2 linked regions of the Caenorhabditis elegans genome follow. The protein of the gene in region 1 interacts with the protein of each later gene in a pairwise test. Each region holds a gene or a part of one and is shown on either strand. Other genes may lie near its edges. The genes, in order: cpb-3 and daz-1.

Evidence for each region.
Region 2: the proteins of cpb-3 (region 1) and daz-1 interact in a two-hybrid assay, tested with the Caenorhabditis elegans proteins (one study listed by BioGRID).

The regions. Positions count from the first base shown.
Region 1 is NC_003279.8:5,787,846-5,793,307, reverse strand, and holds cpb-3 (Cytoplasmic polyadenylation element-binding protein 3), read left to right. Parts: upstream 1-1,555; 5' UTR 1,556-1,584; coding exon 1,585-1,707; intron 1,708-1,754; coding exon 1,755-2,684; intron 2,685-2,728; coding exon 2,729-2,887; intron 2,888-2,961; coding exon 2,962-3,562; intron 3,563-3,638; coding exon 3,639-3,851; intron 3,852-3,926; coding exon 3,927-4,138; 3' UTR 4,139-4,674; downstream 4,675-5,462. Other genes in the region: ATP-dependent RNA helicase glh-3, read left to right, coding at 1-96, 142-245, 292-473, 523-727; Runt-related transcription factor rnt-1, read right to left, coding at 4,919-5,148, 5,201-5,319, 5,372-5,430. UniProt on the Caenorhabditis elegans protein: Cytoplasmic polyadenylation element binding protein that binds to and regulates the translation of specific mRNAs. May not be required for oogenesis.
Region 2 is NC_003280.10:5,454,679-5,459,327, forward strand, and holds daz-1 (DAZ protein 1), read left to right. Parts: upstream 1-1,626; 5' UTR 1,627-1,655; coding exon 1,656-1,883; intron 1,884-1,938; coding exon 1,939-2,170; intron 2,171-2,220; coding exon 2,221-2,502; intron 2,503-2,549; coding exon 2,550-2,788; intron 2,789-2,869; coding exon 2,870-3,242; intron 3,243-3,323; coding exon 3,324-3,466; 3' UTR 3,467-3,931; downstream 3,932-4,649. Other genes in the region: putative oxidoreductase dhs-5, read left to right, coding at 1-30, 425-747, 802-1,107. UniProt on the Caenorhabditis elegans protein: RNA-binding protein that plays a central role in oogenesis, but not for spermatogenesis. Required for meiotic entry and germline differentiation, at the pachytene stage of meiosis I of female germline regardless of the sex of the soma.

The sequences.
Region 1 (5,462 bases):
TCATTCAAGAGTTCGAGTTGTGCGATAGAACATCAAAAGTGGATAAGCTTTTGAAGCTTCTCGGTATCGATATTGACACCTACACCACCGAGAAAAGTTTGTTTTACTTTCACTTTTCAATATCGTCATATATGTTTTTAGATTCTGATGTCTTTGTGAAGAAAACGATTGTATTCGTTGCTCAACAAAAAATGGCAGACACTCTGGCCAGTATCATGTCGGCAGCCCAAGTTCCAGCGATTACAGTTCGTTTGTATATTAGTAGTGTATTTCCATTCTTCTTTTTTATAGATTCACGGTGCTCGCGAGCAAAAAGAACGGTCGGCTGCTTTGAAATTGTTCCGAAGTGGAGCTAAGCCAGTGCTCATCGCCACGGCTGTTGTTGAGCGTGGTCTTGACATTAAAGGTGTAGATCATGTTATTAACTACGACATGCCAAATAACATTGATGATTATATCCATCGAATTGGCCGGTTGGTTATTTCCTGAAATGTTTTATTTTTTGTAATTACCGTTTTTCAGAACTGGACGAGTCGGAAACTCGGGAAGAGCAACTAGCTTCATATCATTGGCAGACGATGTTCAAATTCTGCCGCAGTTGGTGCGAACTCTAGCTGACGCCGAACAAGTTGTGCCAAGCTGGATGAAGGAAGCTGCAGGAGGGACCTCCAATCCTAATAAATTCGAAAAATCTATTGATACCGAGGAACCGGAGGAAGCTTGGTGAAGCAATGTATTCTAAATTTAATTTCTGCAAAATATCAATCTTGACGTATTATTTTTCTGATAATGTTCAGCCCCCTTTTATTCCCCAAAATATCTGATCGTCTTGGCATTTCAACTTTAAATTTCCCGAATTTTTAAAATATATTTTTTGTTGTTAGGTTTATATGTTCATTTTTGTTTTCAATAGTTGGAATGTTTATAAATTCAGATCAGTATTCAATCAATGTCTCGTAAATCTGATAAATTTTTGTTTTAATTAAAGCTTTCAAAATCTTTTCAGATGGACTCACTATCAGTTTTTTTTAACTTCTCAGTTGTCTTGGCACGATGCCCACTCGATAATAACTGGTCATCTGTTTATTCGTGACTCATAAATTTGATAATAGTGAACGCTGAGAACGTGTTTTTTAATGAATTTTAATATTTAAATTCAATCAATTCAAATAATTAAATCTCATTCATCTTATAATATTAAAATCTTATGTATATAAAAATTAAATTAAGTCAATTTGAATTTTACGAAAGAATTACTGTAGCACATGTTCTGTGTAACATCGCGTCGTTCATCATGTTTTGTGTGCATACACTAAGCAAATTCAAATTTCAAAATGCTTTAATTTCGAAAATCCCAAAATTTTAAAATCAGTTTTTAGAAATGTTTTGTCAGTTTTTTATTCTGTCCGTGTTGTTTTAGGGAAAATTCTTTCTTCCAATTTGAGTTTGAAAATGTTTTCGTTAAAAACAAGTTTGAAGAACCTGTAGTTAATAACTTTCGCCTGAGCATAATTACTTTCGCTCTTGAACTCAAGGGAACATTTCTAATTTTCAGACTTGCTGCCGTTGATAAAAGCATTCACCATGAACCTGAATGACCGAGTGGAAGGCATCGGTAATGAAAGATCTATCGTTGCGAAATCAACCGAGAGAAAGAACAAAATTCCGCCCTCGTTAAAGCTCAGTCCTGTTGAGTCAGTTGGCGAGGTTTGTAAATTTGTTTTTCGAAATAGTTTAAAAGTTTTCATTTTTAGAAATCTCCAACTCCTGCAACAGTTTATGATTTGTTCAAGAAGTACCACAAATCGGACAGTGTAAAGCCGACCGAAGAAGACAACATGAATGTAGGATTTGACAAGCTTTCTACAGACGAGAAGAATGGATTTCTTCGAAAGCTTCAAATGCTCACTGTTGGAAGCAAAAAATCATCGAAAGTAGATGAATCCACTCCGTCGCCTGCTAATCGCCTACTCAAAAAGATTGTACCATCTCGCCGGACATCAACAGAGCATCCGAATTCGTCGAATCGAATGCATATTTTTGGATCTTCAAGAACTACAAAGAAGTCTATCGACTCGGAAAGAAATTCACAGCGTAAGAAATCTGCTCGGCGACTAAATTTCGAGAGAGACGCAGAGCAAAAGAAGGATTCAACAAAAACAAATAATAGTTCATTCGTTGCTGAAATGACTAGAGAATATGAGAAGATAGTTATCTCGAAGGGTGCTCCCGTTCCAATCAATAAGGCAAATCGGAATCTCTACCGTAATCCTCGTGGTTCCCTTGAGACTCCTACAGATTCTCCGCAAAAAGGCTTCAGCAGTTCAACCGAATCGTCTCCTTCTGACAGTATGAATCAGTTTCCATCTCGAGAGCACTTCACATCTGCAAATGAGGAATCTCCGATGAAAAGAAAAAACTTCCAACAAGAACATGGAAATAAAAACCGTGATAGCGACGCAACTTGGTTTGGAGAGCTTCCGCCCAGAGATTATACAAGTCCAACATTCTCACGGAAGATATTTGTTGGAGGAGTTCCATGGGATATCACTGAGGCAGCTTTAAAAGATTCATTTGGAGAATTTGGTTCGTGTGCAGTTGAATGGCCTGGACAAGAAGCACGTTATCGCAGTGGACAATCAAATTTGGCTCCGTCAAATGGGAGTTTGAGAGCTCAAACGAAGGTACGAACTTTTTGAACGGTTAAAAATAACACTGAAATTTTCAGTATACTGGACAAGCTGCTACTGGGTACGTCTACATGATATTTGAAGATGAACGCGCTGTTGCTTCTCTACTTCACGAATGTTCTCAAGAGATTGGAGGAGCCGGAGAATGGTACTTTAAGATTCGAGCTCAAAGATCGAAATCGACCGAGATACGGCAGGTAGGTCAACCACAATATGTGATGTTTCTTTTTTGCGTATATTCTACTATGATTTCAATTTTCAATCATTTCAGGTACAAATCATTCCATGGGTTACCTCGGACTCTATGTTTTGTGAGGATGATACACTTCTCGAAACAGGAATAGAGCCAAAACGAACTGTCTTTGTTGGAGCTTTACATGGGATGATGACAGCTCAAGTACTTCATTCAATAATGGAGGACTGTTTTGGAGCCGTTGAATGTGTGCAACTTGATACGGATAAGTTCAAATATCCGATTGGAAGTGGACGTGTCACATTTCGTGAACATGGCGCGTATTTCAAAGCCATCGAGATGGGATATCTGCACGTCTATACCAGCAAATTCCGTAAACGTGTCCAGATAGATCCATTCCTCGAAAGTACATGCTGTATGGTATGTAATTCGCAGTCAGCACACTGTTTCTGTCGGAATAAGAATTGCTTCAAGTACTACTGTCACAACTGTTGGGCATTGGATCACGGAAAAGATGATGATCAAGAAGTCCATATTCCAGTGATTGTACCATCGTCGGCTTCGAAAGCGTTTCCAGGAGCAACTACTCGTCGTTCGCAAGTTTCAAGCAGCTTGTCGTTGAAAAATGGATCTAACAATTCTCAAGTCAATAATTCGATTCCTCATTTTCCTTCGGCAGGTACAGATAACTAATTTTTATTTTTCGAAAATTTGGAAAATATCTATTTCTTAAACTCAGTTTTTATAATTTTCAGGTTTCCCTATCATCGTCGGCGCACCTGCACAAACATTGTCAGCTCTCTATGGATATATTCAAAATGGTCAACAACTGTTGAAACCAGCCGTTTTTGAGCCACCAATGACACCATCACCAAGTGAGATCAACAAGAATAGAAGAAGCTTCACAGAGTTTTCGACTCCGCCAACAGTCTTCTTCAATTCAACTCCTGTCATATCTCCACAAAAGAGTGAGTGGAATATTTCAATACTTTATAAGCGGAGCATATTATTTTACTCAATTGTTACATTTTCTCAAATTTCAGGTGTGTCCGACGGTTCTCCATTGCCAGCATACTACAACTCGGCTGCATTCCTAACTCCACCACCAACATACTACGGTTCTCCAAACCACCCGACATCTAGCAACATTTCGCAACCTCAGCAACCATACTATGGCGCTAACCTTTATTATGGCTTTATTCCCCCTCAGCAACATCCTTCTGCAATGATGCGCTCTCCCAATTACGGCCAGTAAGCGCTTGCCTGTTTCCATCAAAAATTGCCATGTTCTCATTACTATTCGAATATTTTATATAAGTTCCGTCGCTCGTAGTTCTGTAGAAATAATCAACGTAGTTTATGTTTGCTGAAAACTATGAATGAGAAAACTCCCTGTGAATCATATTGCATCTGTAACATCTTTTTTTGTTTTCCCCTGTAGCGTTTAGTTTGGGCCTTCTTAATTGTTTGTTTTTTTAATCAATTTTGTTATTTTGTTGTGTTTCTAATCATCCATCTCCCAACTCTTATCCGAATCTGATGCCATTTTTCCTTGTCATTCGCAATCAATTCGTATGCCATTTTCTTGGTCCCATCTGTAGATTTAAACTCTCCGCATTGCGTTTTACCTCCCTCTCGTTTAATGTATACAAGAAGAATCGAAGGTAACGTTTTATCTTTTTTATCACTTATAAAATTATTCATCTTAAGTACTCTTTCACATCCTCCCCAATTGCATATTTTCTCGCAGATTGCGCATTAATTTTTTTTTCGAATAAAATTTTTTCGATAGTACGACTTGTTGTCTAGTTGAATTCAAACCTGAAACTTTATTAGATATGATGATAATCTATTCCGATTTAGATCAAAACTTGTATTATTATACAAAAAAGGTTGAAAACCGTTAAATGAACCCGTTGAACGTGTTTTAAAACGAGAATATTGAGAAAAGTGACTGAAGAGGTAGGAAACAATTGAGATTTGGAAATTGAGAGAAATTTGGTGTGTTGTGGTAAAATAATGAATATTTTTAAGATTAAAAAGGCCTCCAAATAGTCGGAGAAGAACTATTCGATGAAGTTATTGATACATTTCTTCGTCTTTTTGATTCTACAGATTCCGGAGTTTCTTGAATTAAATTAATTGAAGTTTCTGATGATTTTGTGATTGAACGAGGAGAAGATGGTCGTTTTAACTTCCGATCATCAGAAGTTGGAGTTATAAAAATTGATGGAGATGATAGGCATGTAGACGTATTAAGGGATACTGCAATTAATAAATTATATATATATATTTATTTCCGAAAAAATAATCTAACCATTTTCCTGTTCAACTTTTTGTTTAATCGGAGTTTTCATCGATTCGCTGTGAATTTTCCAAAGTGCAGCTGAGATAGAAGGATGTGGTCCTGGAGAGATAAGCGGAAAAAATGATGGGCTGAAAAATATAAAAATTATTTTATGAATAATGTGAAATTCGAAAAACTTACGGGAAAGTTTGAGTCATTGGTAAAGGAAACCATGGTGGTGGAATCATTGTCATTGGCATCTGAAAATTAAATTTTTAAAAATTGTTTGCAA
Region 2 (4,649 bases), on another chromosome or scaffold:
ACATCAGCGACATCGATGTTGGATTTGTCGGTAAGAAGTTGGGTGAAAAGGGGAATAATATGAGGGAATGTAGGGCAGATTTGGCTAGTTGATTACTTAAAACTTCTTGGAAAATTCCTGAATAATGAACATATGGATTGAGACTTTTCAGTTGGTAATATGAAAAATGTCTCAAACTTTAGAAAGAAATATAAATAAGAATGTTTACTTTGTCCCAATTAGATTAAAGAACTTGACCTGCCATTTGTGGTTTTGCGAATTCAATTATCACAAGTTGACCATTAGGAAAAACTCAAGTAAAACCGGTTACTGTAATTGTAATTTGACAGATGGAGATTCTGTAAACATTCTGTTTCATATGACTAACTTTTGACGGGAAAATCCCAAGAAACATTGAATATATTTATTCAAAGCTGCCATTCAGTGAACAGCGTTGGAACTGGTCGCGACAATTTGGAAAGATATGGAGACAATCCAGATGAGGACACTCAAATATTGAGAGTAAATGGAATGGGTGCAGCCGAGTTCCTATCATGTGTGCTCCCACCAATGGAGAAATCTGGAGGTGGACAGATTGTTGTGCTCTCGTCTTCACAAGGAGTACGGCCAATACCCATGCTTGCGGCTTATTGTGCAACAAAGGCTTTGATGACGTTCTTGTGCGAATCGATTGATCGCGAGTACAGTACAATCAATGTTCAAACTTTGATCCCTGCATTGGTCGCCACAAAAATGACCTACTACACGGTAAGCAGTTATTTGCGAAGTTCTTAGAAAATTAATTTACAATCTTATTTCCAGAAAGGATCTACATTCGTTGTGACACCAGAAAACTTCTGCCACCAGGCGGTTGGCTCAATTGGATTGACGAAGAAGACTGCTGGATGTTTGAACCATGAGCTTCAAATGCTCGGATTCCACCTGTTCCCATGGACTATTCTCAAGTACCTTATCATGCCAATCTACTATCATCAGAGAAAACGTGTGACAGAATTGCACAATACGAGCAATAACCCAGAACAGGAAATTTCACTTCAAGAATTGAATGAGGAAACGGTGGTGCCTACAACAAAGAAAACTGTCACTCGTGACTCGGCCACTGCCTAATACTGAAAAGAATAGTTGTTTTTAATTTTCATTTTCCCTCTGAAATTGTGCTTTACATACAAATTTTAATTTCTAATAACATGTTCTTGTATCTATTTTTGTGAAATTTTATTTCGTTTCTTGTTTTTTTTTCTGGTTTTTGTCAACTCCCCCTGCAGTGAAATTTATCGAAACAATAAATATTTTCATGAGATTAAATTGTCTTTCTGAAACACAATAATTAAAAGCTTTTTGAAAAAAGACAGTTAGAAAATATTGAAATTGTATTTTGAATTGGCGCGTGCAGTACGGTAGCTGATGTTGACCTGCACATCTAACTTCGCTTTGATTTAATTTTAATTATTAACCTTTTCTTTCCACCTTTATTTTCAAGAAATAAGTGTTCTAAAAATTGCTTTGAACAAATAATTTAGTTTTAATGGTTAGAATTTCGAAAATCTTAAATTGTTGTTCATTTAAATGTATTTTTTAAAAATTATCCCAATTTGAGCATTTTTTAATAAATATTCATTTTTTTAGGTTCTTGGAATCAAAGCGAACGGGTTATGATGTCGCCGCCTCTACGGTATCAAAAAGACCAACAAAATCAGCAACATCAGCAAAATCAATCACAGCAAGCTGCTCATCAGATGGTCTCTTTCATGCCACAAACACCGACTTCTCTTCCATCAACTCCGATACAACTTTATCCAACCGGAGCAGCCGCACTAATACCAGCACCACCTACATACGAGCTGATTCCAAACCGTATTTTCGTTGGTGGCTTCCCAACTTCGGTTCGTGAATTTCTTGATATGTTCTCTGTTCTTCCTAACTCTCGGGTTGTTTCAGACCACAGAAACTGAGTTGCGTGAACATTTCGAGAAATTCTTCGCTGTGAAGGACGTCAAAATGGTTAAATCACTTGATGGTCAGTCAAAGGGATACGGATTTATCACCTTCGAAACCGAAGATCAAGCAGAGGAAATTCGTAAACTGACTCCAAAGCAGTTGGAATTCCGTAGCAGGAAGCTCAACCTAGGTCCAGCGATCCGAAAAATAAACTCCAATAGTTTTCAACCAAGTAAGATTTTTTTCTTTAATTCTATAGTGACTAAAATAAAAAATTTACAGGCTACGCAATCGCCACTCCAAGTCAGCTCGTTGCGGCATCTCCAGGACCATTCAGCTACGCCATTCCGGCATCTCCAAGTCCATATAGCGGATACTCCTATCCTGCTTCGCCTCAGATGTTCGTCTATCCTCCGTTACGCAGTCAGGATCAAAGCAGGCAGCAATCTGAGCAACAAACTACTCCGCAGAATAGTCCTACTAATCTGCAACATCAACAATCGCCACAAGTCTTCTTCGGTGGAGATCAAGATCCAATAAGATCTTATGCGAGTGCAGTTGCAGGTTTTTTGTAAACAATTTTTTAAATCTTTTAAATATAATTTTTATAGGAGTTGAAAAGTCCGAAGTTTCCCCTGAAAAGCATGAATCAGTTTCTCCACAACCACTTCTTCCAAATCAAAATGTGTTGAACACTCAGTATTCCCAAGGTCAGCAGCAGTGGAATTCCAATGTGCAGCAGCAGCAGCAACAACAAATGGACTCGAACAACGGAGGTCCTTACTATAATGAAAATTATTCTCAAGGCTACACCCGTCCTCATCCATATCAACAGTTTGCTCAATCTGGGGTACGTAATTTCCAGATTTTACAAAGTAGTAGAGTTCAATAATTTATCTTTTTTTTAACCAGTTCGAATATATAATTTCAGGTGTACATGAACAGCCAAGGAATGTACCATTCGAGTTATTCCTACATGACTCCTCCACTGGCACCAGGTCAATATCCACAAATGATGTCCGCTCCCTATTGGCAACAGCAACAACAGCACCATCAAAGTCATGCATACGCTGGCTATAATCCCGCCTACAACAACTGGGTTGGACCATCTGGAGATATGAATCAGTTCAAACAAAATCCGTCAAACTACTTCTATCAAAATTATCCGGGAAATTTTTCACAACAACACACGATGGGAAACAATGAAAATACATTCTCCCTTCCCCTCCAAGCTCCACGCCAAGGCAAGAAGAGCCGGAAACCATCGGAATGTCAGGATAAGAAGACAAAAAGCCCAATCAAAGGTTAGATTTTCGAAACAGTGTTTTTATTCAAGTTTTAAAAGAAAGTAATCATTTTTTTAAATATTATTCTTATTCTTACAGGAGCTCGCACTGAGAGACCATCGTCATCAGCTTCGACTCCAGACGCGAAATATCAGAAGAACCACAGATATCCAGTTCATCTTTCTCCACTTTCAGCATCCCTCCAATCACTAGCCATTTCCTCGCCCACTAAGAATAATTAAATACGAATTCTACATTTTTGTCATTAGTATTTTCTGTCCTTTAGGTAGTTTTCTATTCCATTGCTCTGGTGCCTACCAAATAAGAATTAAAACACGTATTTTGTATCCTATACGCAACTGTATATTTGATTCAAATACTAGAATTAGCTAGTTTCTTTCTCTTTTTCCTATCCAAATTATCTTCCTTACGAATATTGTTCCATTCTATAATGTGCTTCTGAAGCCATCGATCTTTTCATATCTTCTAGTAAGATTGAATTTAGATCCCACGTTCCCCATTCCCATAGTATTCAAATGTTTTTGTATGCCCCCAATTTAGAATAAAATGAAATCACAATAATGACACCAGTAGCCCCTCTCTCGCATTACATGGTAATTTTGAATCACCCAAATTGTCCACTTTAACACCTAAAAAATCCGAAGTAGAATTTTGTGTGTGATTTTAATAAATCTTTTCGCAGAGAAGATTGTGACTTAAGTGTTTTTCTTATTTTTTTCTGCCGTGGATTATGTTCATAATCCACAAATTGTTCAGGCAAGGTCGAGGACATCGAGTGAAGCACAAAAATTGGTGGATGGTTCACGGAACACTCACATCGGAACTCATTGATTTCATGGAATTCTCAATTCCTTCGTCTTTTTACCGGAAGCAATCCCCTTTTCTTATCCATCCGATATCATCAATTTCCCTTTTCACACGCTAACAACCTTTTCTTTTCTCGGTGTCTCATTGTTCCATGATGTCTCTCAAACGATCTTCTTTTCATAACACTTTGCCTCATGTTGATTGTGATTTCAAAGAGAGAATCAAGGCGATCCGACCGGCGATCGGTTCTCGTTTTGAGACATTTTTCGACTTTTTTCATTGTTTGTTCTAAAATTATAAGAGTTTAAGGGGTGAATATTAAAAATCGCAAAAACAATTTTAACTTCTGTAGCTTTAGAAATGCAAATCATCCGGACACGAAATTTGGTGATTATTCCGACAAAAATACGGTATCCGGTCTCGACACGATAAATTTTTCGTTGAATACAATCGGGTATGCGCCTTTAAAGAGTACTGTAATTTCGAACTTTGGTTGTAGCAGAATTATCATTGATTTTCAGTTTTTTTTCGAGTAAAAAATATTTATTTATTAAAAGCCAAAAAAAAAATAAATATTTTTCAACAAATCGCGAAAAA